Linked DNA regions of Pelodiscus sinensis. The main gene of each other region encodes a partner of the protein of the gene in region 2 in a complex. Links are inferred from orthologs where the notes say so. Each region holds a gene or a part of one and is shown on either strand. Other genes may lie near its edges. The genes, in order: ARPP19, PPP2CA, STK26 and PPP2R3B.

The links.
Region 1: the proteins of PPP2CA (region 2) and ARPP19 are in contact, whole or in part, in a cryo-EM structure (PDB 8TTB), measured with the Homo sapiens proteins. The link is inferred for Pelodiscus sinensis from reciprocal best matches to the Homo sapiens genes PPP2CA and ARPP19. Residues at the interface, in NP_002706.1 of Homo sapiens: Arg89, His118, Gln122, Gln125, Val126, Tyr127, Tyr130, Asp204, Asp205, Pro213, Arg214, Gly215, His241, Gln242, Leu243, Met245, Tyr265, Arg268, Cys269; in NP_001293124.1 of Homo sapiens: Phe60, Asp61, Ser62, Gly63, Asp64, Tyr65, Asn66, Met67, Lys69, Ala70, Lys73, Ile92, Pro93, Thr94, Pro95, Leu98, Arg101.
Region 3: PPP2CA (region 2) and STK26 share a complex: the UniProt entries of both Homo sapiens proteins name them as parts of the core of STRIPAK complex. The link is inferred for Pelodiscus sinensis from reciprocal best matches to the Homo sapiens genes PPP2CA and STK26.
Region 4: the proteins of PPP2CA (region 2) and PPP2R3B are in contact, whole or in part, in a crystal structure (PDB 4I5L), measured with the Homo sapiens proteins. The link is inferred for Pelodiscus sinensis from reciprocal best matches to the Homo sapiens genes PPP2CA and PPP2R3B. Residues at the interface, in NP_002706.1 of Homo sapiens: Cys20, His63, Tyr91, Tyr92, Arg135, Lys136, Tyr267, Arg268, Arg294, Arg295, Gly296; in NP_037371.2 of Homo sapiens: Met410, Leu432, Asp436, Cys439, Gln440, Met441, Leu442, Asp443, Leu444, Lys446, Glu450, Gly451, Lys462, Leu463.

What each region holds. Positions count from the first base shown.
Region 1 is NC_134724.1:25,594,310-25,602,262, reverse strand, and holds the start of ARPP19 (cAMP-regulated phosphoprotein 19), read left to right. Parts: upstream 1-4,947; 5' UTR 4,948-5,152; coding exon 5,153-5,197; intron 5,198-7,953. UniProt on the Homo sapiens protein: Protein phosphatase inhibitor that specifically inhibits protein phosphatase 2A (PP2A) during mitosis. Inhibition of PP2A is enhanced when ARPP19 is phosphorylated.
Region 2 is NC_134727.1:28,175,661-28,182,747, forward strand, and holds the start of PPP2CA (serine/threonine-protein phosphatase 2A catalytic subunit alpha isoform), read right to left. Parts: upstream 3,016-7,087; 5' UTR 2,795-3,015; coding exon 2,693-2,794; intron 1-2,692. UniProt on the Homo sapiens protein: Catalytic subunit of protein phosphatase 2A (PP2A), a serine/threonine phosphatase involved in the regulation of a wide variety of enzymes, signal transduction pathways, and cellular events.
Region 3 is NC_134723.1:45,941,823-45,949,735, forward strand, and holds the start of STK26 (serine/threonine-protein kinase 26), read right to left. Parts: upstream 3,008-7,913; 5' UTR 2,875-3,007; coding exon 2,833-2,874; intron 988-2,832; exon of another isoform or gene 973-987; coding exon of another isoform or gene 964-972; intron 1-963. UniProt on the Homo sapiens protein: Serine/threonine-protein kinase that acts as a mediator of cell growth. Modulates apoptosis. In association with STK24 negatively regulates Golgi reorientation in polarized cell migration upon RHO activation.
Region 4 is NC_134711.1:224,710,132-224,718,004, forward strand, and holds the start of PPP2R3B (serine/threonine-protein phosphatase 2A regulatory subunit B'' subunit beta), read left to right. Parts: upstream 1-4,873; 5' UTR 4,874-5,124; intron 5,125-6,871; exon of another isoform or gene 6,872-7,110; intron 7,111-7,873. UniProt on the Homo sapiens protein: The B regulatory subunit might modulate substrate selectivity and catalytic activity, and might also direct the localization of the catalytic enzyme to a particular subcellular compartment.

The DNA.
Region 1 (7,953 bases), on a different chromosome or scaffold from region 2:
TGTCCATCCCCCCCCCCCCCCCCCCGCTCAGCTGGAGCTGCACAGCGGATCAGGAACTCTGATACTCCATCAGCATGGTGCCCTTGCCTGCAGGCACTGCTCCTGCCAATGGGAACTTCAAGAGCAGTGCCTTCAAGCAAGGGTAGTGCGAGGAGCCACTTGCCCCCATCTCCCATCTGCACTGCGCTGACTGCTTTTAGAAGTGGTGGGGAGCAAGGGCAGGCAGGGAGCCTACTTCAGCTCTGCTGTGCCACTGAACAGGAGCTGCCTGAGGTAAGCACCCTGCACCCCACTCCAATCGCCTGCCCTGAGCCCCCTCCTGTACCCAAACCCCTCATCCTCTGCTCAGAGCCTCACCCCTTTTGCACACCAAACCTCTCTCTCAGCCTGGAGCCCCTCTCACATTCCAAACCCCTCATGTACTAAATGAACTACATTTAGTTTTCATTGCATTGAAAAATTATTTTAAAAATTGAATGTACAGTATTTGGTTCTATGTGTGTGTCTCATGGGGTGTTGCACAGGGCATACAGTAATCATGGTTAATGGTGATTGCAGAAGTGGCTCCCAAGTCACATAACTGAGTACCAGTGCTTTAAAGTGAACTAAACTTCATACAGTATTCTAAATGTAGATACTGCAATTTTTCATTTAATTCTGAAATGATTGGCATGCTGCTTTACTGCTATTTACTTCAATTGCAGTTGTGCAAACAGGGCTGAATTAGATCCAGTTCTAGCATGCTAGGTGGTCTACAAACTGAATAAGACAGCCACTGCCCTGAAGAGTTTAAAGTCCAACAACTGTGCTTGTGCATACAAAGTTTTATTCTTTTTATACTTCTGTGTAACTTTGTTTACGCTGAAAAGTGTAGAACCTAAAAATCACCAACTGTGCTTGCTCCACCACATAAGCAGCAGAATAGCAAAAACACCACAGTCCAACTCACATCAGCTTCCATGTTGCATTTTCAGACATGCTTAATTATATATCTAAAGTTTGCAAAAGTAATCAAGGCATCAGTTATTAAATATCTCTTCCCCATTGCCTCTCTCTGAAAATAAAAGATCACAGATAGAGGTTCTTCAAAAAAAGGAAAACTGCTGCTTCAAGCTTTTTTACAAAATTTACAATATAACTGCATGCCTATATACTATCTTTCAACCTATGGGTTTTGTAATGATATTTAAAAGAATCATTTACTCAGCATATAAATGCTACCATTATTTAGTAAAAACATAACTGCTTTTTATATCTACTACAGCAAAATTTACAACAGTTAACGGCTACATCCTGCAAACCTAGATTTTTGAGGAATAGGGGATCTTGAAAAAGAAGGTTTTTTTCCGACAAATGGCCCCATCTACACGAGGCTTTTAATCAGCAAAACTTCTTCCGCAAAAAGAACTGGAAGAAGATATGCAAATGTGAGTGTGATTTGCATATCTTCCGAAAAACAGCGGCATTGTAGCCCTAGCCTTAATAAAAGTGGGGGTGGAAAGACACCCTTTTTACTTGAAACTTCAAGAGGATTTTAAAGATGAATTGCTAAGAGAAACATCAATCTTAGGCTCTTATGATGAAAGCTTGTGTATCATTTTACATTTTCTTTACATCAGAAAGTCTGCTATCGTCTACCTTGGAACTTTCTGATTATTGACAGAATTTTGAAATTATTACTTCAAGAACCAAGATGACTGAAGTAGAGAGGGAACAGGCCAGCATTTTAGTCAGATTATTAGAATGTTCTGAAGAAAGGAAGACTTTTTAAGTCTTGCCAGTCAGCTGAAGTGTAAGATGCATCCAGAGGCCTCGAAGCAAAAACATGAGAGAAATCTTCTGTTCATCTTAAATGAGCAAAGCTGAAATTCTTGGGTTTTTAAAGGTAAAAACCAAACAGACCAACAACCAAAGATCACAAATCTTCCAGGTTCTTTAAAATGGCATATTTTACACACTGATGATAATCCCACAGAGTTGGAAACATCATAGAGGACAGGTCCATTCTCCCCTCAAACTTGTGTGGCTAAAGGTATTATAGTAATGTTTACAGGAGACTAGCTACCTCAGGCTTCTGCTGATGAGCCATAGAGCTTGTAAATTTCCAGTTTAAATCCTACCCAGCTCAGCAGGGATTAAAAACCCAGATCAGCAGAGATTAGATCTCCTATCTAATATATTGGGCACTGCCTTTATGAGAGGATGAGTTTGATTTAGTCTCAATTCCAGCTCCCATATCAAACTCATCACTATACTTTACATTAGATCAGTGGTTCCTAAACTTTTTGGCCTGCAGCCTGTCCCACTCAATGCAAACCTTTCCATGGAACACCAGCCAACTGTCCATCATGATAAAATGGGTGCAGAAGAGGGTGGAGGGATGATGTCTGGCTGGGAGGGGGGTGCAGGATCAGGCTGGAGGTGTGGGGTCTGGGTGGAAGGGAGGGTCTCAATGGAATGGCTGTCTAAGAGAGATAGGGGATGTTTACCTGGCTCAGTGATCTCTGCTGCCCCCAGGATTCCATCCAAAGGGAGCAGTGGGGGAAAGCCTCTATTCCTCTAGCCATGGGAGGGAAGGGCAGTGGCAGCACATGAAGTGTCTTCTTCCCCTTATGAGTTGGATCCCTGCAGCACTGGTGCTCCAACCCTATAGGGGGTCAAGGCTGGAGTACCACTAGTAATCTGCAGACCATACTTTGAGGACCACTGCATTAGACTGTAAGCCAAGGGTGGGGAACCTAAAGCCCACTGGGGAGCCTGCGCTGGCACTCCAGCCTTCTGCTTCCCACTGTGGGGCTGGAGCAGGTTGCTTATGTCAGTTGGGTGTCATGTCAGTGAGGGGTTGGTGGGGTTTTTTCTTTTGCTTCTCACTTGTGTGTGGCCCTGACCCCAAAAAAGTTCCCCATTCCTGTTGTAAGCACATCAGGCTAGGGATTGTTCTTACTCTTACTTTAGTTGCACTGCTCTGATCTTGAGTGGATCCTTCAGCAAGACCTCTTAACGTAGCAGCCAAAATAGCCATACTCACTATACATTTGTCAGAATTGGCAAGAGAAGTTGGAGAGAATACTGAAAAGATTCTATTCAAAAGTTCACTATTTTAATAAAAGTGCTTTTTTCACAGCTTCAGATTTCTCACATTCTCAAGCGGTATGCAATCCTGGGAATGCCACATCCCACACCATCTTAGCTCAATCCATGGCTATGTCTACACTGGCGGGTTATTGCGCAAGTATGGCCGTTCTTGAGCAAGAATCCGCAGAGAGTCTACAATGCAAACCTGCTCGTGCGCAAGTAAATTTACAGTACAGCATGATAAGACAGGACTGCTTGCGCAAGAATTATGCTCTTTTTTATAAGGTGTAATCTCTCTTGCACAGTAGCTCTTGCGCATGAGGGCAATGTGAACACTCGGCAGGAATTTCTTGCGCAAGAGAGCCCTATGACTAAAATGGCCATCAGAGCTTTCTTGTGCAAGAGTGTCCACACTGCCATGGGAGCTCTTGTGCAAAGCACAGCGCACGCATGGCGGTGTGGACTTTTTCTTGTGCAAGACTTCTTGCACAAGAACCCTTGCGCAAGATGTTCTTGTGCAAAAAGCCACCAGTGTAGACATGGCCCATGTGTTTTATCTTAATAACTAGCACATCTGTTAGCAAAAATACAAGCACCAATAATTAGGCTCACAAACTCTCCAAGACTGGATGGACTGAATGTCATTGCCACAAAGGGCATCTCGTTCAACTGGTTGGGAGAGTTAGCAACCCTATCAATAATCAACCAGGGAAAATGTGTGTTTATAATATAATCAGTGTTACAGCAACATTTACTGTGGTGTTTTCTCTCTGGTACTCCATCCACATTTTTAGAGGGAGTGTGAGCTGTTGAGGTTGAACTCTCTGCATTAGCCTGAGCAGAAGCCTCTGCTCATGCTGGGACCTTGCTAGACGCAAAATGCTAGGTAAGTGCTCCATACTGCAACCTTCTGCCCTAGCCCTGAGCCCGCTCCCACACCCAAACTCCTGCTCAGACCTCATGCCTTGAGCACCTGGGCATGTAGGATTTGTGAGCAATGCCTGCCAGGCAGTAGGGACAGGCAGGGCTTGGATAATTGCAAGATGTTTAAATTTCGGATTGACAGAGCCCTGGCCTGGTTGATTTAGTTGAGATTGGTCCTGGAGGCTGGACTTGATGACCTTCTGAGGTCTCTTCCAGCTCTATGATTCTATGAATTGTTGATGCTAGCCCCGAGGATGAATGTAGGGCATGTAAAATGTCCGGTTATTTTCTGTTTTTTCTCAGACGGAAGGCCACTTGGGACGTTCCTTCACTGCTGCATTTTTTTTTTTTGGCTCAACTAATTTCCCTTCCCTGCCATGTTTGATAGCTGTTGTGAAAGTATTGGACAACGCTAGGGTGAAGAGGCAGCAACGCACAGGAGTGACCACACATGGACATGGGTAACAGGTAGGGTCCTGATGAGAGCCCTGCCTGTTGGGGAAGGAGGTTTAGCTCAGGCCAGTGACTTGAGTTAGCCCGTGCCGGGAGTCGGGGAAGAGGAGCAAGGCATAGGCCAGCGGCCTCATGTGCTGCGGGGAAGGAGGGGAGAACATGGGCAAGTGACTCGGGCACTGATCCATTTTCCCTTTGGGAAATATGGTCACGCTAGCAAGGATGCTGTTCGTTAAAGGCAGGGGAGGCTTCCTAACTGGCACTAATGTGGACACCCCCTGTCCTAACGCAGGTCTCCCTCGCTCTCTTCCCTCGAAATGGCCCAATCACGGAGTAAATTGGAGCCATCCTAAAGAGGTAGACCAGACAAAGACTAAACTACAACTCCCAGTATGCATCTGCAAAGGGGGCGGATATGACGTTCAAAAGTCGGACGTTGGCGTAAAGAGTGAGGCCGGAAATTGCACAGTTCTTTTCTGCTTATTCGCTCTCTTACCTCAGGTTGAGAAGCGGGTTGGCTGGGGAGGGGGAGTGCGGAGGAAGTCTGATCCCGCCGGCTCGCCGTCGTGAGCGCGGCGGCCATCTTGTGCGGGAGGCGATCGGTGTGTGCGGCGGCGCTGGTTGCAGCGAAGGACGGAGGCGGCTGCGCGTCCCGAATCCCTCCCGTCTCCTTCTCTAGCAGCTGCTGCGGGGGGGCGCGATGTCCGCCGAGAGCCCGGAGCCCGCCTCGGCCGAGGAGCAGAAGGTGGGCGGCCGGGTCGTGCCTCCTCAGGGCACGTGGGGGAGGCGGCCGCTCTCCGGAGTTATGTCGGTTCGGGGCCCGGGTCGGCTGCATCCGGTTGGCCTGGCAGCGGGCTTCGTCTCTGGCGGCTGGCGCTGCCGTCTCTCAACTCGCGAGGGCCGCTGATTCTGCTGGGGCGCGGCGCCCCGGGCCTGAGCTGCCCGTCGCCTCTGCGAGGCCGCTTTGCTCCAGGGCTGAGGGGAGCCCCGCAAGCGCGGGGTCCGCCGCGGCACAGCAGGCCGGATTCCCTGAGCGGTGGGGATTGTCTCTGCGTGGGCGCGTTACCGCCGGCGGGGGGGGGGGGGTGGTCCGGGAGCGGGCGTGCGCGAGCTCACAGCTCGGGGTTGCTTCCCCGCAGGAAGCGGGGGTGTCGCGCGGCCCCGGGCCCTGGCTCCTGCAGTGGAGCGCTGCGGCCCCCTGCAACATCAGGGTGCTTGTCCCCGGGCTGAGCACTGTTGGGAGGTGTTGCTGAGATGTGTGAATGCGCGGGGCAGAGGTGGGTGCAGGCCCCGGCTCCATAGCTGAATATAGCTGAGGGGTGAAGAATGATATTAAGAGATTGACCTTTGCACGTTTTTTCATGAGGAATTTTATTCTCCTGACCAATGAATCACTGATATGCCTGAAGCTTCGGGAACGAACACTTTCCGTCGCCCCATTGTGCCGGTCCTTGGGCCTTTCCCTCTCCCCCAGCTAGTCCCTGTACTTGTCTGTGTTAGGAGTGTGAAGGGTTTTAGATTCTTCACGTGCAGTTTTGGTAGGCGGACACTAACCACCATTTTATCAGCATCCTTATTTCTGAATGGTTTAAGGAGCAGCAAGCCACTTGAGAATGTCACCTTTTCCTGTAAGCCATAGAGAATGGAGAGCTTCCAAAACAAAACTGCTGTACCATACTTATGCCCTGTCATTATTGAGAATAGCCATTTTAAAGAAGCAATTGGCAGCTTTAACACATTATTTGTTGTTTATAGTATCTCGAACTTTGAAAACTGGAATATAGCTTTCACTCTATGCAGCCTTTTTTTTCTTGGTTTGGATCATGAGAAATCTTTTCTTTTTTACACTTGTGTTATTGTTATATGGACTGCATTGCAAACAATACTGGGACATTGTTATTTTAAAAGTCTTCCTAGCTGGACTTAAGTTACGGAATCACTTCTCTTGTGCTGAAGTGCTGTGACTTTTTTACCCCTGTTTAAACTTGGATGATAGTATGTAAACCAAATATATGTCATCCAAATTTGGTACAACTTATCTTGCAAAGAGGTGTGAAAAAAACATAGCCCTGAGCCACTTCAGTTATACTGTCAAATATGTTGGTGTGGACAGCCCTGTATTGGCAGGAGACACTCTCCCGTCAACATAGCTATTGCCTCTTGCTGGGAGTGATTTAATATTGCCAACAGGAGGGTGAATTCCCTCATTGCCATTGAGCAGCTTCATGGGAGGCTTGACAGCAGTATAGCTATGTCATTATAGGCTGTAGAGTGTAGCCATGGCCCAAAGCTTTGCAGTCATCTACCCATTTTCTTGTGTCTGAGCTGAACTGGTTGTAAAGGTAGGGTTTTGGGCTCATGCTGACTAATTGAAATATCTTAATGAAGACCGTACTAGTTCAAACTTATTACAAGCATGTAGCTTATTGTTTTATTTTGTCTTCAATAGCTCAAACATTTGTAAAAAAACTATTGAAGGGATAGTGTTACTAGCCAAAAATGTAGGATAACACACAACACACTTTGGAATGTGCATCACTGTCACAATAGCTCTGTATATGTGAGTATTCTTAAATACTAAATTATGCAACAATATAGCTTATATGATTTCCTTCGTAGTATTTTAGTTCAAGCAATTGATTCATGCTGAAAACTTTGATACTAACCAAATATCAGTATGAAGACCTCAAAGTTTAAACATGTAAGGATTTTTTTTTTCAGCAAATAATGTATCATTGTTCTGGTGCAGTAGTTCCAGTGTGAAATTGATTTGAAATGGATCCAATCTAGCCTAATGGTCTAAGTAAGAGAGATTTAAAAGAACAAACTTTGTATTAAAATTGAACACATTTGATTTGCGTGCTGTTAGGATGCTGTATGTGTCATTTTTACAAAGTTGTGCTACTGGACTTAATATTTAGTAAACTGCAGATTAGATTTTATTAACTGGCACTTTTATTTTGCACCCTCAACTTGTTTCATTTGGGAGCCAAGAAGATCTTGCCCAGCTCCCTTCTCAAAAGTCAACTAAGAGTATATTAATTTTTTCAGGGTTTCTTGCTTTAAAATCTGTGCATTCTCACGTCTTTGTTCAATCTTTCACTGATGTTATGTGCTAGGAATAAATGCAGGAACCCTGTGACAAGACAGGAAAGCAGTTTGCACAGTCATCACTGGTATTTCCACAGGCAAATCAAATGCTCTCTTATGTAGCAGGAAATGAGAAATATTGAATAAAACAGTTAGAAACATTTTCCCTGGGTAATATTGGCTATTTTAGACTAGATTATCAAAATGTTATTGCAAGAAAGTAGTACCTCTGCATCACTTACCAAAGTTATGCATCTAGAGCAGAGGTGGGCAATAATTTTTGACTGGGGGCTACTTCAGAAATTTTTGAAGTGGCCCTGGTTTGCTCCGGAAGGGGTGGGGCCTCAGGCAGAAGGGGCAAAGCCAGGATGCTTCCCCACCCACACACCCTGATTGGTCTGAGCATGAGGA
Region 2 (7,087 bases):
ATTCCTTCTTCTGATTTGTAGTATGGATTTGAACTTCATCTTCCATCCACCAGGATAATGACCTGCCCACTAAGCTATAATCATTTTCACTCTCTCTAAAAGCCAAATTTATATATAGTGGAACAACTTCAGCACGAGATACTGAAATACCAACCATGGAGTACCATTTAACCCAATGGCTACAGCATGGTGCTGAGAGGAGAGAGACTGGTTCAAATATCTACTCCACATCAGATAAGGAGTTTTGAACCTATGTGTACCACATCCTCAGTGAACTAACCACTGGGATAAAGGTTATAACAGGGTTTTTCTGTTGGGGGAGGAAGCAATAAAGGGCTATAGGTGTTTAATCCCAGGAGAGGATTCCATAACTGTGAACCTCAAATGGAGCTGGGCACCTAACTCTCAGTGGGCTACACACCATAGCCCTCCCCTTGGCATTTTCTATACTCAACTTGCTGGCTTCAATGGATTCTATTCTTAGGTACATAGTATTCCCCATGCTTCACACAGGAAAACCTGTGCATTTAACTCAGGGTTGTGAATTCCATCTGGAAGCAACAGGTCTAAATTCAGATACTGCAAGACTGAGTCCATTCCCTCTCTGGCCAATGGGAGCTGTGGAGTTTGCGCTTAGGACAGGAGGCAGTGCACGGACACATTCCTCCCCTCCACAGTCCTGCAGGAACATGCCCATCCTGCACATTTCCACAAGTGAGGAAGTAGCCTCCTGCTGCAGCCCTGCTGTACAGCCAAACTTCTAGATTGCAGGAGTTGTTGAATGAGAAGAGCTGATGATCAGTGAGGCCTGCAGAACTTCTGGGGTACTCTTGGGGGGAGGGTGACTCTTCCCCCATAGGGTCCACATATCCTAGGTTGAGAAATACTGTACTGAAGTACTTTTCAAGTGACTGATCAAGATTACAAAGAATTCAGAAAGTAGCAGGTTCAAACACACTGTAGTGACTCCAGACACCTCAAATCAGGCTCTTCAGTATTAATGATAAAAATTAAGAGTATTTACATCAGGTGTACAACAGTAATGTTTCAACTTTGCCACCTGAATTCCTTAAAACACTCCACAAATATTCTCCCCACACTATAGTTAAATGCACACCCCTATGCTATGCCACAAAAACTTTCAAGTCAACATACTTGATCAGTATTCCACATTAAAATGCTATTTGTGGAAACACAGATTGGTATGAAAGGAGGAGAGGTACTGTGGCCTACACAGAAATTGTTTCTAAAACACAAGAATGAGAATGCTGCATCATTCATGGCCCCAAGTGATCTTATCATGGTGCATGTCTCCATTTACCTATTTGCAAATGTCTAGGATTTTAGTGACAATAAGTCAGAAAGCCATTTAGCATGCTATACTGCAAATAGACTAGTTTATGTAGAGCAAATTCTTTTTTTCCCTTAAAATTTTCATCTTTAGACATTAAGTCACAATCTGAAGTGAAAATAAAATGTAAGAGATAACTATAACAGCTTTATAAAAATTGTAACGAAAATGTACTTGTGCAACCATTAAATCAACTTACCCACTTTTATTTTACTACAGTATCAAATTATTATTCATTCTGTCTAAATTCTACAGGGCTCCTCTAAACTCAGGAAAACCATGAGGAATGACCACCGAGACAGGTAATAGCCAAACCTCACCATCCATAACTACACAAAGTAAAACTTCATATTACCTGGCTATATTTAGAAATGCCTACAAGGAGAAACCAATACCCTAAATTAATCTAATTCCCAATTACAATTTAAAGGCTGTTCCAAACACATCAAAGTTAAAAAAAAATGTAATGCAATGGCAGTCAAAAAATTCCAATTCCAAATTACTTTTATGGAGAGGAATTCCTACACTACCACCTTAAAATGAAATTTCCACTTTTAATTCCTGCCATTTTGGTGGACTTTACAAGAAAAACAAACATGCATTAACTGTGCCAAGGGGGATGGCATTTTGTTCAAGTCTTCCAACAGGGCAGCAATTACAGATTGGGTCTGACACTAGTAGTGGCATCCTAACATAGCAGACATAAATCTGTGGCCACTACACTCCCATCTGCGTCTCATACAACTGCCACCGCTATTTTCAACCCTCCCCCCTTTTATGAGAAGCGGGGCTGGGGCATTGGAGGGAGGAGGGTGGGCGTTTGGACGCTGCCTTACAGATTTGCCTTTCTACCTCTCTCGCACGGAGGAACTAGGAGGTGACACCGGGAGCGACACCCCGAGCGCCGAGCACGGCTGGTGCTCACAAGGGTCTCTTCGCCCCGCAGATTCCCTGCGAGAGGCGCCATTTTAGGAGGCAACGAACAGCAGCCGAAGGAGTCGGTCTCCTAGCGGAGCGGCAGGGGGCGCAGAGCTGCCCGGGAGGAGGCTACCCCCGGCTCGGCGCTGTAGGACCCGCTATCTCCGCGGGGTGACAGACCCGCCGGGGCGCTAGGGGGGAAAAACCGGGCCCGCCCGAGGAGATGCGGCCACGGCCACCCCCCGCTTCTTCTTCGCGCTCCTCACGCAGGGGCTGCTCCGCGGGGAGCCCCCCCCCCGCCACAGGCCCCTTCCCCAGCCCCCTCTCCTCACCCTGTCAGAGGCGCTTCCGCCGCCCGCCCCCAGCCCGGACTCCCCTGCCCAGGCCTCGCCCCAGCTCCCCCCGGCCGCGGGCCCCCCGTACCTTCTCGCAGAGGCTCTTCACCTGCCCCTCGGACAGCTGCTTGCACTCGTTGAGCTGCTCCACCCACTGGTCGAGCTCCTTGGTGAAGACCTTCTCCTCCATGCCGCCCGCTCGCGCTCCCCTCCCCGGCTCCTGCCGCTACCGCTCGGCTCTGCCACCCCTACGACCCGCTCCAGGCCGCGGCCTCACCGGACACCCAGGCAGGTGCGGTGGCGGCAACCGACGCTCGCGGCTAGGTCCCGGCTCCCGGCAGCAGTTCTAGCGCTCTACACTCGTTCTTCACTCCCCTCCGTGTAATGGCCGCCGCGCCCTGACGTCACCAGCTCTGCTTCCCCCTCGGAGGGGGGAGGGGTAGCATAGCGCGTGCGCGTGATACCTACCACAAGAGGGCGGGGCCGGCCGAGGAGAGGCGGCGCATGCGTGATGTTCGTAGCCAAGTGGGGAAGCCCGAAATATCAGTGCATGCTTGCTTTACAAAGGGCGTAGCGATGTCGGGATTAGCGCATGCGCAGTGCTCGCACCGATGTACGGGCGCATGTGCAGTGGCTGAAGTAAAAGGAAGAGAATGGCGGGACAGCGGCGCATGCGCAGCACCAATAACTAGCGAGGGGGGGGAAAGATGTCTGAACTGAGCGATTGGAAGCGATCAGAGCATGCGCAATGTGAGGAGGGGGCAGGTTCAGAGCGTTGTAATAAGACGCCCGCTGCAGAGCCTGCTTCAGATGCTGCCCCTCGCTCTGTGGACCCCATCACACCCCCGCCACCCATAGTATTCCCGCCACTCCCGCTCCAGAGACCTCCACACACACAGTACTCCCGCCACTCCTGCTCCAGAGAGCTCCCACCCCACAGTACTCCCGCCACACACCCTTCCAGGGAGCCTCTCCCCCGCCACACAGTACTCCTGCCACCCCAGCTCCAGGGGACCTCTCTCCCCCAACACACTACTCCCGCCACATCCACTCCAGGGAGCTTCTTCCCTTCCCAATACAATACTCCTGCCACCCACAGTCCAGGGAGCGTCTCCGCCCAATATAATACTCCCGCTATGCCCATTCCAGTGAGCCTCTCCCCCCCCCCCCACCGCAAAATACTACTCCCACCTAGGGATGTAATAGTATAGTTGATTAACCAATAAGCAAAAGTGTATAGGTTAATGCTATAGAATACACGCATTCTCCACTCCCCTCCCTCCCCAGTACATTTTTTCTAGCAGGCTGGCCAGCAGCCCAGCTCAGTCCCGACTTGCGCCAGGTCTGGGACCTACCCCTGCTGTAGCTCTGCATTTAAAGTGTATTAGGAGCTAGGCGGGCAGGCAGCCTGGCTCAGTTCTGGCTCATGTCGGGTCCGGGAGCTTAAACACCTACCTGGATAGGGGCTGTATCAGGCAGCAGTGCAGGGCAACAGGCAGTCAATCCATTAAGGGAGCTGGTTTTTAAACTGGCTCCCCTTGTGGACCAGCTCCCGCCTAGCACCCCGCATTGCTGCTTTGGATACAGAGGTAGCAGTGTGGAGTGGCAGGGGGCTCCTTGGGAGTGGAACCAGAGTGCACTGGCTGCCGTCCTCGCTCCCAGAGGCTATAGAATAGTCAAGTAATGGATAAGAATTCATGGGGTTAAATGACTATTCAATTAACCCAGGGGTCTCCAAACTACGGCCCGCGGGCCGGATGCGGCCCGCGAGGCCCTCTCATCCGGCCCGTGGAGACCGTCCCTGGGGTGCCGCCGAACGGGCCCTTCTTGCCGCGGGGGGGGGCCCTGTCAGGGGTGTGCGGCGTGTACTCACGCCACGCCGGGGCAGGAGAAGCGGGCCGCTCCGCTGACAAGCGGCCACGCGGCAGCAAACGGCGCAGGGGGCGGGGGTTAGCACGGGCGGCGTTCCCCCGCCCAGACTGACAGGGCAGCCGGCCAATCAGGGGGCAGGAGAAGCGGGCCGCTCCTCTGACAGGTGGCCGCGCGGCGGCAAACGGCGCAGGGGGCGGGGGTTAGCACGGGCGGCGTTCCCCCGCCCAGACTGACAGGGCAGCCGGCCAATCAGGGGGCAGGATGGGCGGTGGTGGTAACGCCCGCCCGGCGACGTGCGGGGGAACGTGAACCCCGGCGGGAACTTTAAAAAGGTGACCCCTTCCGCCCGGGGTGGGGAAGGAGTGAGCGGTGGCAAGCAGGAGGGGAGGACAGCGTGCAGAGGAAGGGGAGAGCAGGGGGAAAAGCCCCCCCCCCCTTCCGGGAGAAACGGATTCGCAGGCGAATATTCTGAAGAGGAAACATTAAAAGCAACAATCTCTCTACCATAAGTGGATATATTTGCACACTATATTCAGGTAAGTTTAACTTAAGAAATCATAAGAATTTTTAAAAATTGTTTCGGGTCATTTGCAGCTATTATTGCGACAAAATTAGTTCGCATAATCAGGTTTTTTGAGCGATATTGTGTGCAAGATACTTTCAGTTTCATTATTTATTCATGTTGAATTCACTTTATTTTAGTGCCCAGCGATGGCCGAGAAGAGGAAAAGAAAAATAGACGATGAGTGTCGGCAATTTCAAGAAGAATGGAGTTTGAAATACTTCTTCATCAAATCCGGCGAGAAAGCATTGTGTGTGATTTGCAACGAAACCGTGGCTGTGATGAAAGAATACAACCTGCGCCGTCATCATCAAAGCAAACATCAGGAGAAATATGTACAGTTGAAGGGTAAAGTCCGTGCCGAAAAATTTTCTAAATTACAAAATCAACTCACATCTCAGAGGACATTGTTCAGTAAATCCTCAAATGAAAATGAATCCTTAACTAAGGCCAGTTATAAAGTTGCCTACGTCCTGGCTAAAAGTGGCAAACCCTTTACAGATGGTGAAGTAGTGAAGGAATGTTTGTTGGAAGTGGCTGAGGAACTTTGCCCAGAAAAGTCAAAACAATTTGAAAATGTAGCTTTGGGTGCGAATACCATTGCCCGCCGTGTTGCAGACATGGGTGAAAACATTGTGACTCAAATAGCGAAAAATGCAAGCAAGTTTCGCCATTTTTCAATTGCAATGGATGAATCGCTGGACAGCTGCTCCACCTCTCAACTGCTTGTGTTCATTAGAGGTGTGGATGAAGACATGAACATAACACAAGAGCTGGCTTCCCTACATAGCATGTATGGCACTGTTACTGGAGAGGATATATTCAATGAGTTGAAAAAAACATTTGCTGATTATAACTTGGACTGGACTAACCTCAGTTGCCTGACTGTTGATGGAGGAAAGAACATGAGTGGCATAAAGAAAGGCTTGGTTGGACAAGTGAAGCAGATGTGTAATGAGAAAAACATTATACAACCAATGTTCCTGCACTGTATTATTCACCAGCAAGCTTTGTGTGCTAAATATGTGGACATTAGCAGTGTACTGAATCCTGTGGTGAAGATGGTGAATTTAATAAGGTCACATGGGCTCAACCATAGACAGTTCAGAGACATGTTGAAAGATACAGACACAGAATCACAAGATTTACCATATTACACAGCAGTAAGATGGCTAAGTTGTGAGAAAGTTCTGAGCAGAGTATTTAAGTTAAGAAAGGAAATAGGTGACTTCCTGGAAAGTAAAGGCAAGCCACAGCCATTACTGTCTGATGAAGAGTGGGTATGGAAATTGGCTTTTGCTGCAGACATAACTAGTCATTTAAATTTTCTGAACCTAAAACTACAAGGAGAGCAAAATCTAGTTTCTGATCTATACACCCACCTAAAGGCCTTCAGATCCAAACTTGTCTTGTTTTTGGAACAAGTACAGGCCAACAACTTGACGCACTTTCAGCAGTGCAAGGTATTCATGGCTGAAGCAACAGCTGAGTTCCCCACGTCATTTGCATGTGAGATCATCAAAGACCTCCAGCTGCAGTTTCAGCAGCGGTTTTCTGACTTGGATTCAAAGGCAGAAGAAGTGAGATTGTTTCAAAACCCATTTGAAGCAGATGTGGCCAGTTGCCCAGATGAACTGCAGCTGGAAGTCATTGAGTTGCAAGCAAATGACCTCCTTAGGGACAAGTTCAAAATAGGACTGGTGGGTTTTTACCAGTTTTTGCCCAAGGAAGACTTTCCTAATGTCAAAACTTTTGCATCAAGGTACCTTTCAATCTTTGGAACAACATACCTGTGTGAACAAACATTTTCAAGAATGAAATATGTGAAGAACAATTTGAGAACAAACTTGTCCGATGATAATCTCAGGTCACTGTTGATGTTAGGGACAACAAATCTAAAGCCAGAAATGTCTGCTATTTTGGCATCAAGGAAACAATTTCACCATTCACACTAATACAGGTGTTCATGTGTAGTGTATCAATGTGTTATTAAATAATAACTGAATAAAATAATATTAAATAAATAATTAAAAACAACATCCATGTTTT
Region 3 (7,913 bases), on a different chromosome or scaffold from region 2:
TTAGGAAAGCGTGCTTTAAGTCTACATGTGCACAACAAGGTCTGGGTTAAACTAAAAATGCAGAAGTGAAAGGTAAAGGTAAATATTGGAAAATGGTGCTCTAAATAATGTCAGAGTCCTGTCTGGACTACACTAGGGATGTTAAATTTAGATTAATTGGCTAATTGAATAGTCAATGCAATTTGCATCAACTATTCGATTAGTCGATAAGAGCACCTCCACCTTTGAAATGTAGCAACAGCCCTAGGGCACTGCCATTTTGAACCACCCTGTTCTCTTCCTCCCTCCTTTCTGCCTCTTTCTGATAGAGGCAGCAAGAGGGGAAGGGGGGGGGGGGGGGGGGAGCGACTAGTTGACTAGCATGTTGACTGTTGGATAAGCATTTGCTTATCGGATAGTCGACTAGTTGCTCACATCCCTAGAGTAGACGGCAGCTCAAGAAAATGAATAGCAGAGCAACTTTTAAGATGAAGAAATGGACAACCAGATTATGGAATTTACACACAGAAAGTGTTCAAAATACTTATCAAAGCAATACAGGAAAATTCTCTGAAGAGAAGTCACACCAGGGATGTAACTAAAAAAACAAGGCTTAGACTAAGATTTCTCAGTCATTTTCCAAAAAAGTTCACTTGCTTCTAATTTTTAAAAATGTACCATCATCAACATTGATATAATGTGGAAATAAAGTGTATTGTCAAGTTAAAACGATATAGCAAAGTGTGGGTTTGATGTCTGTTTGCACAATAGAAAACTGATGATGCAATTACTTTGAAAGGACAAATTCAAGAGATTTCAGAAGAAGTACAGAAATGGTGCAGATCTTTAGAAATAACGGTACTAACTTTAGCCTTACAAATGTTATCATTAGCCCGGCCCACTTTGCTGAAAGTTCATTAGCCTTCACCATTTTTGGAAAGGGCACAATTATAGTGTTTGGGTAAACATTCCATAAATACTTACAAGCTGCATCTAATCACACTCAAAATATTGTTACTAGGAGTTTTGAAATCTCCCTTTACTCTACACAGAATTCTCCAATTTTCATCCTAAAAGCTGTTGTATTAATTTCTTCCTTGATTTCACAGGCATGACTGCAAAATGAAGAAAAAAAAACTCAAACAGAAATTGTATTTTCTATTTTTTAGAGTTTGGTACTTTTAGTTGTAGCTGTGCCTCCTAGGATTCTGGCACAAAGCCCTCCAGAGTTTATGGACATACACGGTCTCAGAAAAATTCATTTGCTTTTTTTATTTTTATTTAATTTGTAGAGTGGTGTGTAAAAAAGTAATTGACATTTAAACTAGGTAGAGGAAAAAAGAGGAACAGATATTACTAGAAAAATTAGATAACTAGGAATGCACAAATTTGTTTTGTTTATTTTACAAAACCCAAGCTTTTTTACAAGAACTGAGATATGCTAAAAATAGGACATCGCAGTGCAGGGCTGAAATGACTTGTCTTGAAAACATTCTGGATCATCACTCTCATTGGGAAAAGTTACAAGACTCGTTTTCAAAGGAAAATAGCATATGTCTACACAAACTGAGTGAAGACGCTATCTTCACCAACAGGGGAGGTTCTCTGTGGGTAGAGGTGCTCCACCCTCCCTAACAGATGGCAGCTAGGCAGACACAGCTGCCCTTGGCCTCCTGCTGTCTACCAGGGGCATTCGAATGGTTAACTGAAATGCTCTGGGGCGTGGCTGTGTAATACCCCTAACAGATATTAGTCACATCAACCTAATTTCCCAATGTATACAAGACTTAAGGAGTTTGATGCCCAAATGCCACTGAAATGGGCATCTGGTGCCTAATTCTTTAGAATTAGGTGAGAACCCCACCCTAAATCTGCTTGAGGACCTTAGAAAGAGGAACCATGTCAGAGGTACTTCAGTGTATCCAAAAAGCAAAAACTGTCAACAGCAGCAACAAATACACACAGAAGCCCATTTGTAAATGGGGCTCCCAGTCTGGTGCCAGCCACAAGACTCTCAACAGAAGGACCACTCTGAACAGCAGCAAACTCGCTGTAAGCTGGCGGGGCTTCACCTTCCCCATCTCTTTCCATGCACCACGCGCCCCCCGGGGAACCCTCCACACAGGCTGGCGCCAGGCAGTGTACCCGGGCCAGCTGGGCTGACATGGCCTGTCATTGCAGACACACCCATGCAGCAGGTGACATAGCAAGGCCTCTTTTAACCCTTCAAACGCACTTGGGTGCTGCGGGATGAAAGGTGGCTTCCAAACAAAGCCCCTGTAGTGCTATGGGGGGCCCAGCCACAGCCCAGGCCCCCGCTCCCCCCACCAGTGTCTGGCCCCCTCAATCCCCCCACTTGTGTCTGCCCCCCCGCCAGAGCCAGGAACTGCTCATCTCCCCCCCCAGCCCTGCTCCCCCCCAGCCACAGCCCAGGCCCCCGCTCCCCCCACCAGTGTCTGGCCCCCTCAAACCCCCCCGCTCCCCCCACCAGTGTCTGGCCCCCTCAAACCCCCCCGCTCCCCCCACCAGTGTCTGGCCCCCTCAAACCCCCCCGCTCCCCCCACCAGTGTCTGGCCCCCCCAACCCCCCCGCTCCCCCCACCAGTGTCTGGCCCCCCCAACCCCCCCGCTCCCCCCACCAGTGTCTGGCCCCCCCAACCCCCCCGCTCCCCCCACCAGTGTCTGGCCCCCTCAACCCCCCCACTTGTGTCTGCCCCCCCCCGCCAGAGCCAGGAACTGCTCATCTCCCCCCCCAGCCCTGCTCCCCCCCAGCCACAGCCCAGGCCCCCCCGCCAGAGCCAGGAATCGCTCATCTCCCCCCCGCGCGGCCCCGGCCCGGCGCAGGCCCGCTCACCTGCATGCCGGGCACCTGCACGGCCACGGGCGAGTGGGCCATGGCGGCCGGGCCCGAGCGCTGCGGGCTCCAGGCGGGGCGAGAGGCCCGCTCCCTAGCGCGCGGCCCGGTCCCGGCGGCTGCGGCGCGCGCTGCCCATGGCGGGAGGGGCTCAGGGCGCCGCGGCGGCCGGCGCCATGTTGGGCTCGGGAGGCTGCGGCGGCTCCGTCCTTCCGTCCGCTCGGCGGGGCGCGGGGTGGAGCCGGGACCGCCCACGGGGGGCGGGGCCTGGGGGATCGGGGGGGGGGGTCTCTGCAGGGCGGGGCGGGGCCTGTGGGGGGGTCTCTGCAGGGCGGGGCCTGTGGGGATCGAGGGGGGGTCTCTGCAGGGCGGGGCGGGGCCTGTGGGGGGGTCTCTGCAGGGCGGGGGGGGCGCTTGTGGGGATCGAGGGGGGTCTCTGCAGGGCAGGGGGGGAGGGGAGCCTGTGGGGATCGAGGGGGGTCTCTGCAGGGCGGGGGGGCGCTTGTGGGGATCGAGGGGGGTCTCTGCAGGGCAGGGGGGGCGCTTGTGGGGATCGAGGGGGGTCTCTGCAGGGCAGGGGGGGCGCTTGTGGGGATCGAGGGGGGTCTCTGCAGGGCAGGGGGGGCGCTTGTGGGGATCGAGGGGGGTCTCTGCAGGGCGGGGGGGCGCTTGTGGGGATCGACGGGGGGTCTCTGCAGGGCAGGGGGGGCGCTTGTGGGGATCGAGGGGGGTCTCTGCAGGGCGGGGCCTGTGGGGATCGAGGGGGGTCTCTGCAGGGCGGGGGGGGCGCTTGTGGGGATCGAGGGGGGGTCTCTGCAGGGCGGGGGGGGCGCTTGTGGGGATCGAGGGGGGTCTCTGCAGGGCGGGGGGGGAGGGGAGCCTGTGGGGATCGAGCGGGGTCTCTGCAGGGCAGGGGGGGAGGGGAGCCTGTGGGGATCGAGGGGGGTCTCTGCAGGGCGGGGGGGCGCTTGTGGGGATCGAGGGGGGTCTCTGCAGGGCAGGGGGGGCGCTTGTGGGGATCGAGGGGGGTCTCTGCAGGGCGGGGGGGCGCTTGTGGGGATCGACGGGGGGTCTCTGCAGGGCAGGGGGGGCGCTTGTGGGGATCGAGGGGGGTCTCTGCAGGGCGGGGCCTGTGGAGATCGAGGGGGGTCTCTGCAGGGCGGGGGGGGCGCTTGTGGGGATCGAGGGAGGTCTCTGCGGGGCGGGGCCTGTGGGGATCGAGGGGGGTCTCTGCAGGGCGGGGGGGGCGCTTGTGGGGATCGACGGGGGGTCTCTGCAGGGCGGTGGGGGCGCTTGTGGGGATCGACGGGGGGTCTCTGCAGGGCGGGGGGGGCGCTTGTGGGGATCGACGGGGGGTCTCTGCAGGGCGGGGGGGGAGCCTGTGGGGATCGAGGGGGGTCTCTGCAGGGCGGGGGGGCGCTTGTGGGGATCGAGGGAGGTCTCTGCAGGGCGGGGGGGCGCTTGTGGGGATCGAGGGAGGTCTCTGCAGGGCGGGGGGGGCGCTTGTGGGGATCGAGGGGGGTCTCTGCAGGGCGGGGCGGGGCCTGTGGGGATCGAGGGGGGGTCTCTGCAGGGTGGGGGGGAGCTTGTGGGGATCGAGGGGGGGTCTCTGCAGGGTGGGGGGGGCGCTTGTGGGGATCGAGGGGGTCTCTGCAGGGCGGGGGGGAGCTTGTGGGGATCGAGGGGGTCTCTGCAGGGCGGGGGGGAGCTTGTGGGGATCGAGGGGGGTCTCTGCGGGGCGGGGCCTGTGGGGATCGAGGGGGGGGTCTCTGCAGGGCAGGGGGGGAGCCTGTGGGGATGGAGGGGGGGGTCTCTGCAGGGCACGGTGGAGGAGGAGCCTGTGGGGATGGAGTTGGGGGTCGCTGCAGGGCACGGGGGAGCCTGTGGGGATAGAGTTCGGGGTCTCTGCAGGGCATGGGGGATGGACCTGGGGGTCTCTGCAGGGCAGGGGGGGAGCCTGTGGGGATGGAGGGGGGGGTCTCTGCACGGCAGGGGGGGAGCCTGTGGTGTAGGTGGAGCTTGGTCCTGCCTTGAGGGCGGGGGGCTGGACTCGATGCCCTTTTGAGGTCCCTTCCAGTCCTATTATTCTATGATTCTATGATGGAGGGGGGGGGTCTCTGCAGGGTGGGGGGGAGCCTGTGGGGATGGAGGGGGGGTCTCTGCAGGGCACGGTGGAGGGGGAGCCTGTGGGGATGGAGGGGGGGTCTCTGCAGGGCACGGTGGAGGGGGAGCCTGTGGGGATGGAGGGGGGGTCTCTGCAGGGTGGGGGGGAGCCTGTGGGGATGGAGGGGGGGTCTCTGCAGGGCACGGTGGAGGGGGAGCCTGTGGGGATGGAGTTGGGGGTCGCTGCAGGGCACGGGGGAGCCTGTGGGGATAGAGTTCGGGATCTCTGCAGGGCACGGGGGATGGACCTGGGGGTCTCTGCAGGGCACGGGGGAGCCTGTGGGGATAGAGTTCGGGATCTCTGCAGGGCACGGGGGATGGACCTGGGGGTCTCTGCAGGGCACGGGGGAGCCTGTGGGGATAGAGTTCGGGGTCTCTGCAGGGCACGGGGGATGGACCTGGGGGTCTCTGCAGGGCACGGGGGATGGAGCCTGCAGTGTGGAGCTGGGGATCGCTGGGGCGGAACAGGAGATGGATCCCCCGGCTCTCAATGTGCCCTCCCCCCATACTCCTTACTGCCGGGGGCCTCAGAACAGGGCCCAGACCTTCACACCCACCTGGTGCCCCTCTGCCAAAGTGGGCCTCCCCCTGCAGGAACCAAGTCTGTGGGCCCTTTGCTTGGCAGGCCCATGGATGAGGGCCTGTGTTCCTTCATACTTGACCAAGGCTCAGGGGTTCCTTGGCCAGGCCCATGGATGAGGCTCGGCTCAGCTTCCCTCCCCAAGCTCACCTGATGGGGGTCACTGCAGTGTGCTAGCACCGCTCTCCCATGCTGCTTGCCAAGCATAATTTTTTGGGGCCTAGTACAAACTTATAACACAGGCCTCCCTCCCATATGTATGACAATTTGCAGCCTGGACCTCTGGGCCTCAGTGAAGTGTACCCTTCTCCCCTCCCCACCATGTGGGGGCCCCGGGCGGCAACCCACTTGTCCTTCCCCAAGGATGCTGTTTATCAACAAGGAGGACACTGTGTTCTGCTCTTCCGTGGCATTTGCTCTCTTAATGAAGGAGGAGATGTCTGCAATAGCTATTGGAGATCCTCTTGAGACAGAAATTGCTTAGGAATTGTGGCCTTTTGTACAGGCATCACTGTATTCAACTCAGTTTGGTGGGTTTATAATTTGACATCCTGGAAACATCTAACGAAGCAAGTCTTATGTTTTGATTTGTTCATCTAGTAGTCCACAGTTCTTCCATAGCCTCCTTTGAGGAGGATACAAAGTTGGCAACGTCCTCTCTTTTCACCGGCTGCATTGCTGGTATGGGGAAGCCACTGTTCACCTTCTTGTGGCTCAGTTTCTCCACTTGACCAGTTGCCTCCAACATAACGATCACCCCCAGCTTTCGTTCTTCTGTTCGAACTTAACACTTGGCTGATCTCCACTGTGTCCCCCTTGGTAAACACCCAGACACAGTGATGTTTTTTCTTTTTACAGTTATTCCATCCCCTAAGATATGAGCCTGCTCCTGGGTTTAGTCTTCCTTAGCGATGATTTTCCCCTCTTGAGGATGATTTTTCAATTGTCCAGCTCCAGTTATTTCTCTTAGCTGCCACAGAACCTCCTGACCTTACTTTACCTCCCTTCTGTGATGGGCAATTCTGCTTCATGTTTGAAAGGAAGGAAAAATAGTATTTCAGGTGACTTTCCTCTGTACTTAGTACCCTGCACTCATGTATAGTTATGGGTAAAACCTATGACAGTGCATATCTACAGTAGGTCTAAAATGCCTTTTTATCCAAAATGGTTCTTTCTTGTGATGTATCAGTTGCTCTGAAAATTTACTCCATTGTCTGACACCTCCATAACCCAAATTTGCTCAGATCTAGAGAACTGAGCTCATATGAATTAGGCAGTACTTTTTGGCTTTGTCTACACTGCAGAGTTTTTGCGCAAGAAGCTTTTTGCAGAAGAGATCTTCTGCAAAAACTTCCTGTGCAAAAGCACGTCCACACCTCAAAAGCACATCGCAAAGCGATGTGCCGTTGCGCAAGAGAGCATCCACACTGTAGGAACACTCTTACGCAAGAAATCTCTGATGGCCATTCACAAGAACTCTTGTGCAAAAAGGAGTTATTCCTCGTAGAAAGAGGTATACCTACACCACAAAAAGCCCTCTGTTCTGCCCTTCTGCTGTACATTTTCTTGCACAAAAATGCACTTGAGGTATGGATGCTCCACAGGTTTTTGTGCAAAATTAACTGTAGCCAGCATGCAGGCCCTTGCTCTTGGATAGTACCCTTTCTCCTCCTCAAACGTTCCAATGGGGCCCATTATCATTCTAGAAAGCCCTTACACAACTGGAGAGAGAGAGTTACCTGCTGGCCCTACTGAATTCAATAGGAATCTAGCCATTGACTTAATTGGGGTCAGCCTGATAACCATAAGGAAACATCCAGTGTTGAGAAGGCAGCCTTTTCATTCATCTAGGCCACCCTGCCGCCATTAGGTTGGATAATTATATAGCTCAGACCTACTCCAACATAATTATTTAAAGGAAATTTCTTTATGCAGGATTCATTTAAAGGCAGTTTTTAAAGTTGTTCTTATTTCTTCTGCACGAAGAAGTGCTTGCAACATTCAGTATGATACTAAATACAAAACACATCTGTTTAGGTTAAGGTTGGGCTAAAGCCATCTAAGCCTAGAAATTCAACATTCAGGTAGATGGTCCATCTGTAACTGACTGTGGTTTAAAATCAAACAAAACCCCACAATGATTTCAGTGGAGGATAGGACATGTGGCTAACACCGGAGCTTTCTGTCTTGGTTTGTTAAAATTTTAACATTAAAATATTTACTTGCCTACTCACCTCTTTAAAATATGTATTTTAAAAGCCCTCTTAGTGAAAGTTATAAAATACATGTTAGTTACCTGGAAGCCAGTAAGGACTCCAATCTCATGGGTAGGTTATGT
Region 4 (7,873 bases), on a different chromosome or scaffold from region 2:
TGGTGTACATTATTTTACTGCACCACCTACATCCCCCTAACCCTATTTCCTGATCATCATTTATCCCCATGTATAACTTTCATCACCTTTTAGGTAACTACTGAATATGACTCCATTACTTTAAGACACTGGATATCGATTCATAATTAATACACTCATTTTTTATTATTCAAATGTACATTTTAAGTGTTCATCACTGGAGTGAATGGGTAAATTTTGAACAAATTGGACCAAACAAATCTATGTTGACCACACATTAAACCAACTGAGATGTGGGAATACCAGTCAGAAGACAAATTTCTATAGGGAAGTGTAAACCATTGGACTCAGGAGGCGTGCGTGTTCCCCTTTTATTTAACCCTAAGGAAATTCAAAAGCCATCTCCTTGAAAACTCTTTGCTCCCTCCCCCCATGAGCCGCTGCCCACTCTAGTCTGAGCAGCCGAGTCCAAAGCCCTCCACCAGTTTCTCCACGGTCTTTCAGTTATTCAATTTCCGAGTCCAAAGCCCTTCACCAGTTTCCCCCGCAGTCTTTCAGTTAGTCAATCTCCGATACCATTCGCAAGGCTCACCACTTTCATAGCACCAGGAGACAATTGTGGATGGCGGGGTAGGAGGACCCAGCCCACCCTCACTCCCAGGTCCCAGCCCAGGGCCCTAAGGCAGGGACTCCTACTTCCTGTGCCTGGATGATGGGGGAGTTCCCCATAACTCACCAGCCCACGGGCTTCACGACCCCGCCTTGGGCCACTTCTTATCTGCCTACTGATGCCGACGTACCTCCGCTGGATACTGCACCTCGTCTGGCTGGGCCTCCGGCTTTCTTGCTCTCTGGCCTTCGGGCTGCTCCACCGGCCCTCCTCCCTGGGGTTGTACTCCTCGCTCTCCCCACTCTTGGGTCCTCCCTGACTCTTTTAAGCCTCCCGCTGCCGCTTCAGCGGGTGACGTCACTCTCCTGCACTGGACAGACGCCGGCATCCCCTCCGCTGCTTTAACGGGTGACATCATGTGCCTGCGCCGGGCAGACGCAAGAGGCACACCACCTCCTCTCTGCCCGTTCCCCCCATAGTGCTGGGCCGTCACTGTCACTAGTGCGGGGCTTGCTAGCCCTGTCACAGGAAATCCAAAGTCAGCTCTTATTTGGAAGGCCTTAACAAAAGGGTGCATTTACAACTTTTTCTAAAATTGGACAAGTTTGAGTTCAGACATGGGGAGCAGAAGCAAGTTTCATAAAAGACACCTTGTTGGAGGAGACCTGCTCCAGCTCTTTCAAGTTGTTTCCTTGGACCAACTTGCCAAACTGTTACCTCCAGTTGCAATACCAGCTGATGATTTTCTCCAAATGCTACTTGCTTCACTGAAGACATAAAGGGTCTGATTACCATCTCACAGAAAACAGTGTAAATGTTTACACATTCAATTAAAGTAAATTTAGTTTCTGTGAATTTACACCAACATGCATAGATAAGATTTGACCCTATGTATTTTTCACAGATGGTTTATTTCCTTTCTCTGATTTCTCCATCTGCTCCCTATGGGAGCTCTCATTGTCAGCATCGACAAAGGGAATCATTTCTATGCAGATGATATCCAACTTTACAACTCACTCAAGTGGCTCTCTGATCCCTTATTGCCACCTGTTGTCACTCTGTCAATCAACAGATGGCTACATCATTGCAAAGGAATGCTTCAGAGACTTTCAAAATGTTTTAAGAGTCCTCTTTGTTCCATGTCTCTGACTTTTCTGTTATTCACTCTGCTTAATTCAGGCCTTTACTCCAAGGGACAGAAATCTTATAATCCATGACAAATAATATTTTTTGTCTTCCCTCATCTTCCATATTGAAATCTGTCCTTGACTACTTCCAGAATATTCACAGATTTTTCCTTACTTCAGATTCTATTTTTCATATTTTATGTTCAATGCCTTAATAATTTTCCATCTTGGAGAACGCAATTCAATTCATTTTTGTCTTCCTAATATTCTGCTCTCCTGACTTTACAGTCCACTATGCAGGAGCCAGAGTATTATCTTACTCAAAAAAGTGAAGCCCCTCAATTTATTCCTCGTCAATTTTCAGACTTTCTTATAATCTCTGAATCCATTTTAAAAACTGTGTCAAAATATGAAATTATTTACAGGAATGGTTCAAAAAGCTAAACAAAAATGACAATTGTGCCAGTAGTTTGGGTAGAAGGTGAGTATTTTTAATATAGCAACTGCTTTCCTGCTTTTGTTGGCATTTGGATTTATACAAGATTGTTTCTCAACACCACTCATATGAACCTTCTCCTTTGCTCATGCAATCTTAGCTTCCTCTTGTCTATCCCCTCTTTCCTTTACTCTTCACAAGTGGAGGAGCAAGGCCACTTTTTCACAGCTCCTAGATTCACATAATTTTAAATTCAGGGTATGTCTACACTGCAATAAAACACCTGCAGTTGGCCTGTGTCAAATAACTCAAGCTTGCAGTAGAGCCCAGGCTCCAGCCAAAGGCCAGATGGCTTCACAGAAATTGTATAGCTCTGCAACCTGTGCCAGCTGACATGGGCCAACCATGGGTGTTTTACTGCAGTGTAGACATGCTCTTCATTCCTCCCTTCTCAAATACTAAATTCCATTTCAACTTAATTGCTGCTGCTTCATATAGATGATAATGTAGGGAAAGAACACTTCTAACGCTGCTACAGCCCTGGAACACTAATCTTTCAAAAACCGCCATTCCACCATTACACAGAAGATGCCATAGGAAGCCAGCAGCAAATCGTTTAAATTTAGCAAAATCCTTTCTTTCACTTCACAGTGACACATAGTTTATCTATTTATATATTTGAGAGAGTTTGTCTGTCTCTTTGTTCAATAACTCCTCCTAAACAGTAAGAGCAAGAACCACCAAATTGGGTATGTAGCTTCCTCTTATCATAATTTAAAGCAAGGTCATGGTTTGATTGTGCCAGGATAATGGGATGTGCGTGTAATGTGATTGTTTTTCATAACACGGAAAAGGAGGGTTCTGCTTGCAGGGACAGTTATATTGTATAATGACAACAGGGGGAGTAGTAAGGGATCAGTGATGGGGACTGGGACAGTTATAATGGGGGCCAGGGTAGACAAAGGGACAACCATCAGAAATAATTTGTCTGTTTGTGTATCTGTCTCCCGGCTGGGAAACATGCGCCCCTCTCCTGGCTGTGCCCTCTACAGCTGTAGCGGCCATGAACAGGCATTTATCACCTGACCCCAAGCTGCTGCGGTCAGAGAGGGCTGGGGCAGTCCTTTCTCCCTCAGCAGCCTGAATACTAACCTCCTCACAGTCAGTCCTAACTAAGCCTCCCCCGCCTCTCCCCCAGGCTCCCTTTAGGGAGGGTGAGGGGTGTTGAAGCCTCCCCCCAATTCATATGGAATATTGCTAACCCGAGCAATGCTGAATAAATCCCAGATTTCCCCACAACCTCTTCTGATATGGTTGCACTATATATATGAAAGGAAGTGCAACCATATTAGGAAAGGGTGGGGGAATATCTGGGTAAAAATACAGTGGATCTGCAGCTGGATGCCAATAGGTGAGTGAAAAGTGCATATAAGGGAATAAGCACATGCCCCTCTTTATATTCTCAACCCCACAAGCCTATCTAAAAAGCCGCAGATATTTGTGAAACGTATACAAATGATGCAACTATGCAGAGGTTTCGAAGCTGGAGAGCAAGAGTATAGTGAACTATATTGCAGGGAGTGGCTCTCAAACTGAGTTCTTAACAGAAAGACTCTTTACTATTTACCTTTACTATTTACCTTTAATTGAGCATTGCTTGGCTTCACACCCTCTCTCATTTGTCCATTAGAAGAAACACCTTTCCTCCCTTTTGCAACCCCCACCTTAGCATTCCTATGGCAACTACAGCAATTGCTTACATAGAAACGCAATAGGAAAATATTTAATGTATTTTTAGCTGTCTTTTAATGGAACTTAACAGCTGGAAACAAGAAGAGCCAGCATCACGTGATTAGTCAGCTCTCTTCAGAATACCAGCAAGTGCGCCGTTGACCCACTGCTTAGCAACTATTGCCAAAAGAGGCTGCCATCCATAAGGGTTTAGGTGAAGATGGGGGAGTCCCTTAGAGGAGCCTAGGACCATAGTGGCAAATGACACTGAGGCACAGCAGCACCTTGCTTTGTGACTTCTTGGCTGTAGGGACAAGCTGGGCTACTCCTTTGTGTCCCTTATGTTGTGATGCACTATGAAGCCAGGCAGAAGCATCCCTGCCACAGGCATGTGCCCTCAGCCATAAGGATGGGGAGACTCCCAAGCAGGAGGGAAGGATCCTGAAGATCCAGTGGCACAGGGAGGTAACCAAGCCCCAATCCTTGACCCACAAGAGACAAGGGTGGGAGCCAATAGGGCAGGGATGGGGAACTTTTTTGGGGGGAGGGAAGACTGCTGACACACAGAAAAAAATCAATTGGGGGGTGCACATAAGTGAGAGGTAAAACAAAAAAAACCCCCAACCTCTCACTGCCGTGTGGCCCCACTGAGAAGGAGACAGACCCTGCCCCCATTCCCCAGGCGCACCAGAGCCCTGGGAGGTCCAGGCTAGTAGATTCTGCCTGCTCCAGCCCCGCGGGGGGGGGCAATGCTGGAGGGGGGTAGAAACCCCGAGCCTCTGGCCAGCGGGGGCTGCATCCCCTGCAACCAGGGACATGGAGCAGGCGGAGGCTGCGCTCAAGGACAGCAAAGGGGCGGAGTCTGTGCTGGGAGAGGAGGGGAAGGATCAACACCTAGCCCCGCCCCCCGCGCCGCACGGGCTGCTGGGAAAGTAGAGCTGGAAAAGGGCGGGGCCAGGAAAGCAGCAGCCGGAGGAGGCGGTCAAGCCGCACGGGCTGCTGGGAAAGCGAGGCGCCCGCACGGTGCCGCCATCAAGCCACCGCCTCTTCCCGGCGCGGCGGTGTTTTCTTCCCGCCACGTGGGCCCTCCTGTCACCCGGGCAACCGCGCGCGCAGCTTCTCGCTGGGAGAGTCTCGTGAGAGTTGCGGGGGGGTGGGGGGGGATAAAGCGCCGGCTCCCGCGCGGGGCGGGCCGGAAGGCGGCGCGGTGGGTTTGAAGGCAGCGGCGGGAGGCGCCGGAGGTGAGACGTGAAACCGCCGCCGCCGTCTGCGCCCCGAGCCCGGCGGGGGAGTCCCGGGCCCTGGCTGCCAGCGGGTCCCCGAGCCGCCCGGTGGGGAAGGGACCTGAGAGGAGCAGGGAGCTGAGTGCGGCCGGGGCCTGTCCGCTGCCCGGGGGCTCGGCGGGGGCGGGGCGGGGCTGCTGAAGCCATCGGAGCGGCCAGAGCAAGGGGCCATGTGAGCAGCGGCCAAGGGCAGGTGCTTCGGGAGGAGTGAACAGAACTGGGCAGTTGTCAAACCATCCATCCCCTCTCCGCTTCCAGATGTCCCAGAGCGCGCACCCAGGAGGAGGGCGGGGTTGCACCCCGGACAATCTTGGCTAATGGCTAGGATGTCAGACGTGAAAAATGAGAATGGGGTAAAACAAAGCCCCCAATATTGCAGCAGTCTGGTAGCTCTGCGAATAGCTATTGATGGGCCTATGCTCTGTGAAGTGATCTAATTCTTTTTTAACTTTATCATTCTAGCTTTAATAACATCCCTAGATGACACGTTTCAGAGGTTGTGCGGTGTGTGAAGTACTTCCTCTTGATAGCCTTAAGCCTGCTGTCTATTAGTTTCGTGACTGACAGTAGTGCACCCTGGTTTGATCTCCTCAGGGAACTGAATCCATCAGGAGACAGACACTGTGCATTCAGCCCTGTAGTGAGCTTTGTGGACTAGGCCATGCAATGGGTTTCTTCCATATCAAATAGTTGTCATTCAATGAAAAAGGTCTGAATTTAACACAATGGATAACTCTGATGCTGTAAACACAACGTCTGAAAAATACACTAACCAACATAATGTACAGGAAGGGGTGAGATAATGTCAGTCACTTAACTGTAGCTCTGCCTGCCTTGTCTTGTGTGCTTAATTGCAAGCATTGTCACTGCATAGTGTGTTTAGGCTTTCCCTGTAGAAAACTGTGAAATCAACATATGGAATTGAACATATGCAAGTTTGGGTAAACTGAATACTGAATTTTTACTCTGCTTTTATTTGATGATAGCTTAAAATGTGGAGTATGGGTGTCTCTTTTTACTAAAGAGCCTCAATGTATTATGTTGCACAAATCATCTTTCAGTGTTACATGTGCCCCAAATTCACTTAACTGAAATCCCAATCTTCAAATATTTAGTGGAACTTGTAGTTAATTCTGATGCAGTGTATTACTCTGCAGATCTGACATTTACTCAAACCAGGACAAACAAGCCATATCTAAAGGAAGTTTGACTAAGTGATGTTATAGATGTTTAAAGGTTCCTGAGTTTTTTGTCCATTGTTAAGACATATGTTAGCTGGAAAATTGGATAAAAGCTCAAACTTCCTAATTTAAACATAAGTACATTTTTATGGTTTTGTCAAAAGCTTCAAATATGCTACTTTAATTCAGGTTTTAATAATAATTGCAAGTATTTTACATATCTGTAAAGCCTTCCATCTAAGGACAAGAATGTTTTGCAAACATTAAGCCCCTTTCTGAGAGTGTGTGTTGTTTTTTTTTAAGTGAGGTGACAGGTTATCAGGATCAACTATAGAACTGGGAGAACAACCAGATTTTCTCAGTATTTTGCTTTAGCCCTTTCCTTCTTCCCTTAAACTCTAAACTTAGGCATGTTCAAACTGGAGTTTTGCCTCAGAAGTGAAAGAAATTCAAAGCTGAAAGGTCTTGCTGCTATTCCAACACTTCCCAGCATCATAGGTTTGCACTGGCTTTTTAAAAGCACAATGTTCCATACATTGTAAAGGTTAATAATGTTAACTGGTGTTTTCAACAGTGATTTGTTTTGTGTTCTTACTAAGACATAACAATCCAAGGCTATGTCTACACTGGCGGGTTCTTGCTCAAGAACAGCCATTCTTCCACAGAGCGTCCACACTCCCCGCCTGCTCTTGCACAAGAAGAGTTACAGTACGGCGTTGGAAGAGAGGGCTTCTTGCGCAAGAGCTATGCTCTTTTCTAACGGGTAAGTCCTCTTGCTCAAGAGCTCTTGCGCAAGAAGGCAATGTGGATGCGGGGCAAGGGTTTCTTGCACAAGAAAGCCCTATGGCTAAAATGTCCATCAGAGCTTTCTTGCGCAAAAGAGTGTCCACACTGCCATGGATGCTCTTGCGCAAAAGCACATGACAGTGTGGACGTCTTCTTGCACAAGATGTTTTTGAGTAACAACCTGCTAGAAACTTCATTTAGGATTATACTGAGTAATCACTTTGTCTCTGTAGTATCCGGTTTTAAGCCTTATTCAAGACTGACTTTTTTCATTAAAAAAAACCCCAAAAGCACTTGGAACTTTGCACATTTACACTCACAGAAAGAAAGATTTTTTTTTTGGTAAAGTTGGAAATAAATGTTTAAACATTATTAGGGCTTGTCTTCATGTACAGTGCTCTAGTAGTGCACGCTTTAGTGAAAACACTCCAATGCTGACAGAAGAGTTTCTCCTATTGATGGAGTTAATCCACCTTCCCGAGAAGCAGTAATGGCATTGGCAAGAGGAGTTGTCTGTCGGTGGGTGGTGAAGTTGGTATAACTGTTGCTCAGGGGTATGGATTTTTCACACCTTGAGTGATGTAGTTTTACCAGTATAGGTCTGTAGTATTGCTCTGGCCTCAGATAATTTTTTTTTTTTTTGTGAAGATTGCACAGGATGGGGACCCGTAGAATAAACTTCACAGCTCAAATTAGTTTTAAAAGTCCTGGTACAAATCACAGTTGGTGGAATGTGGTCT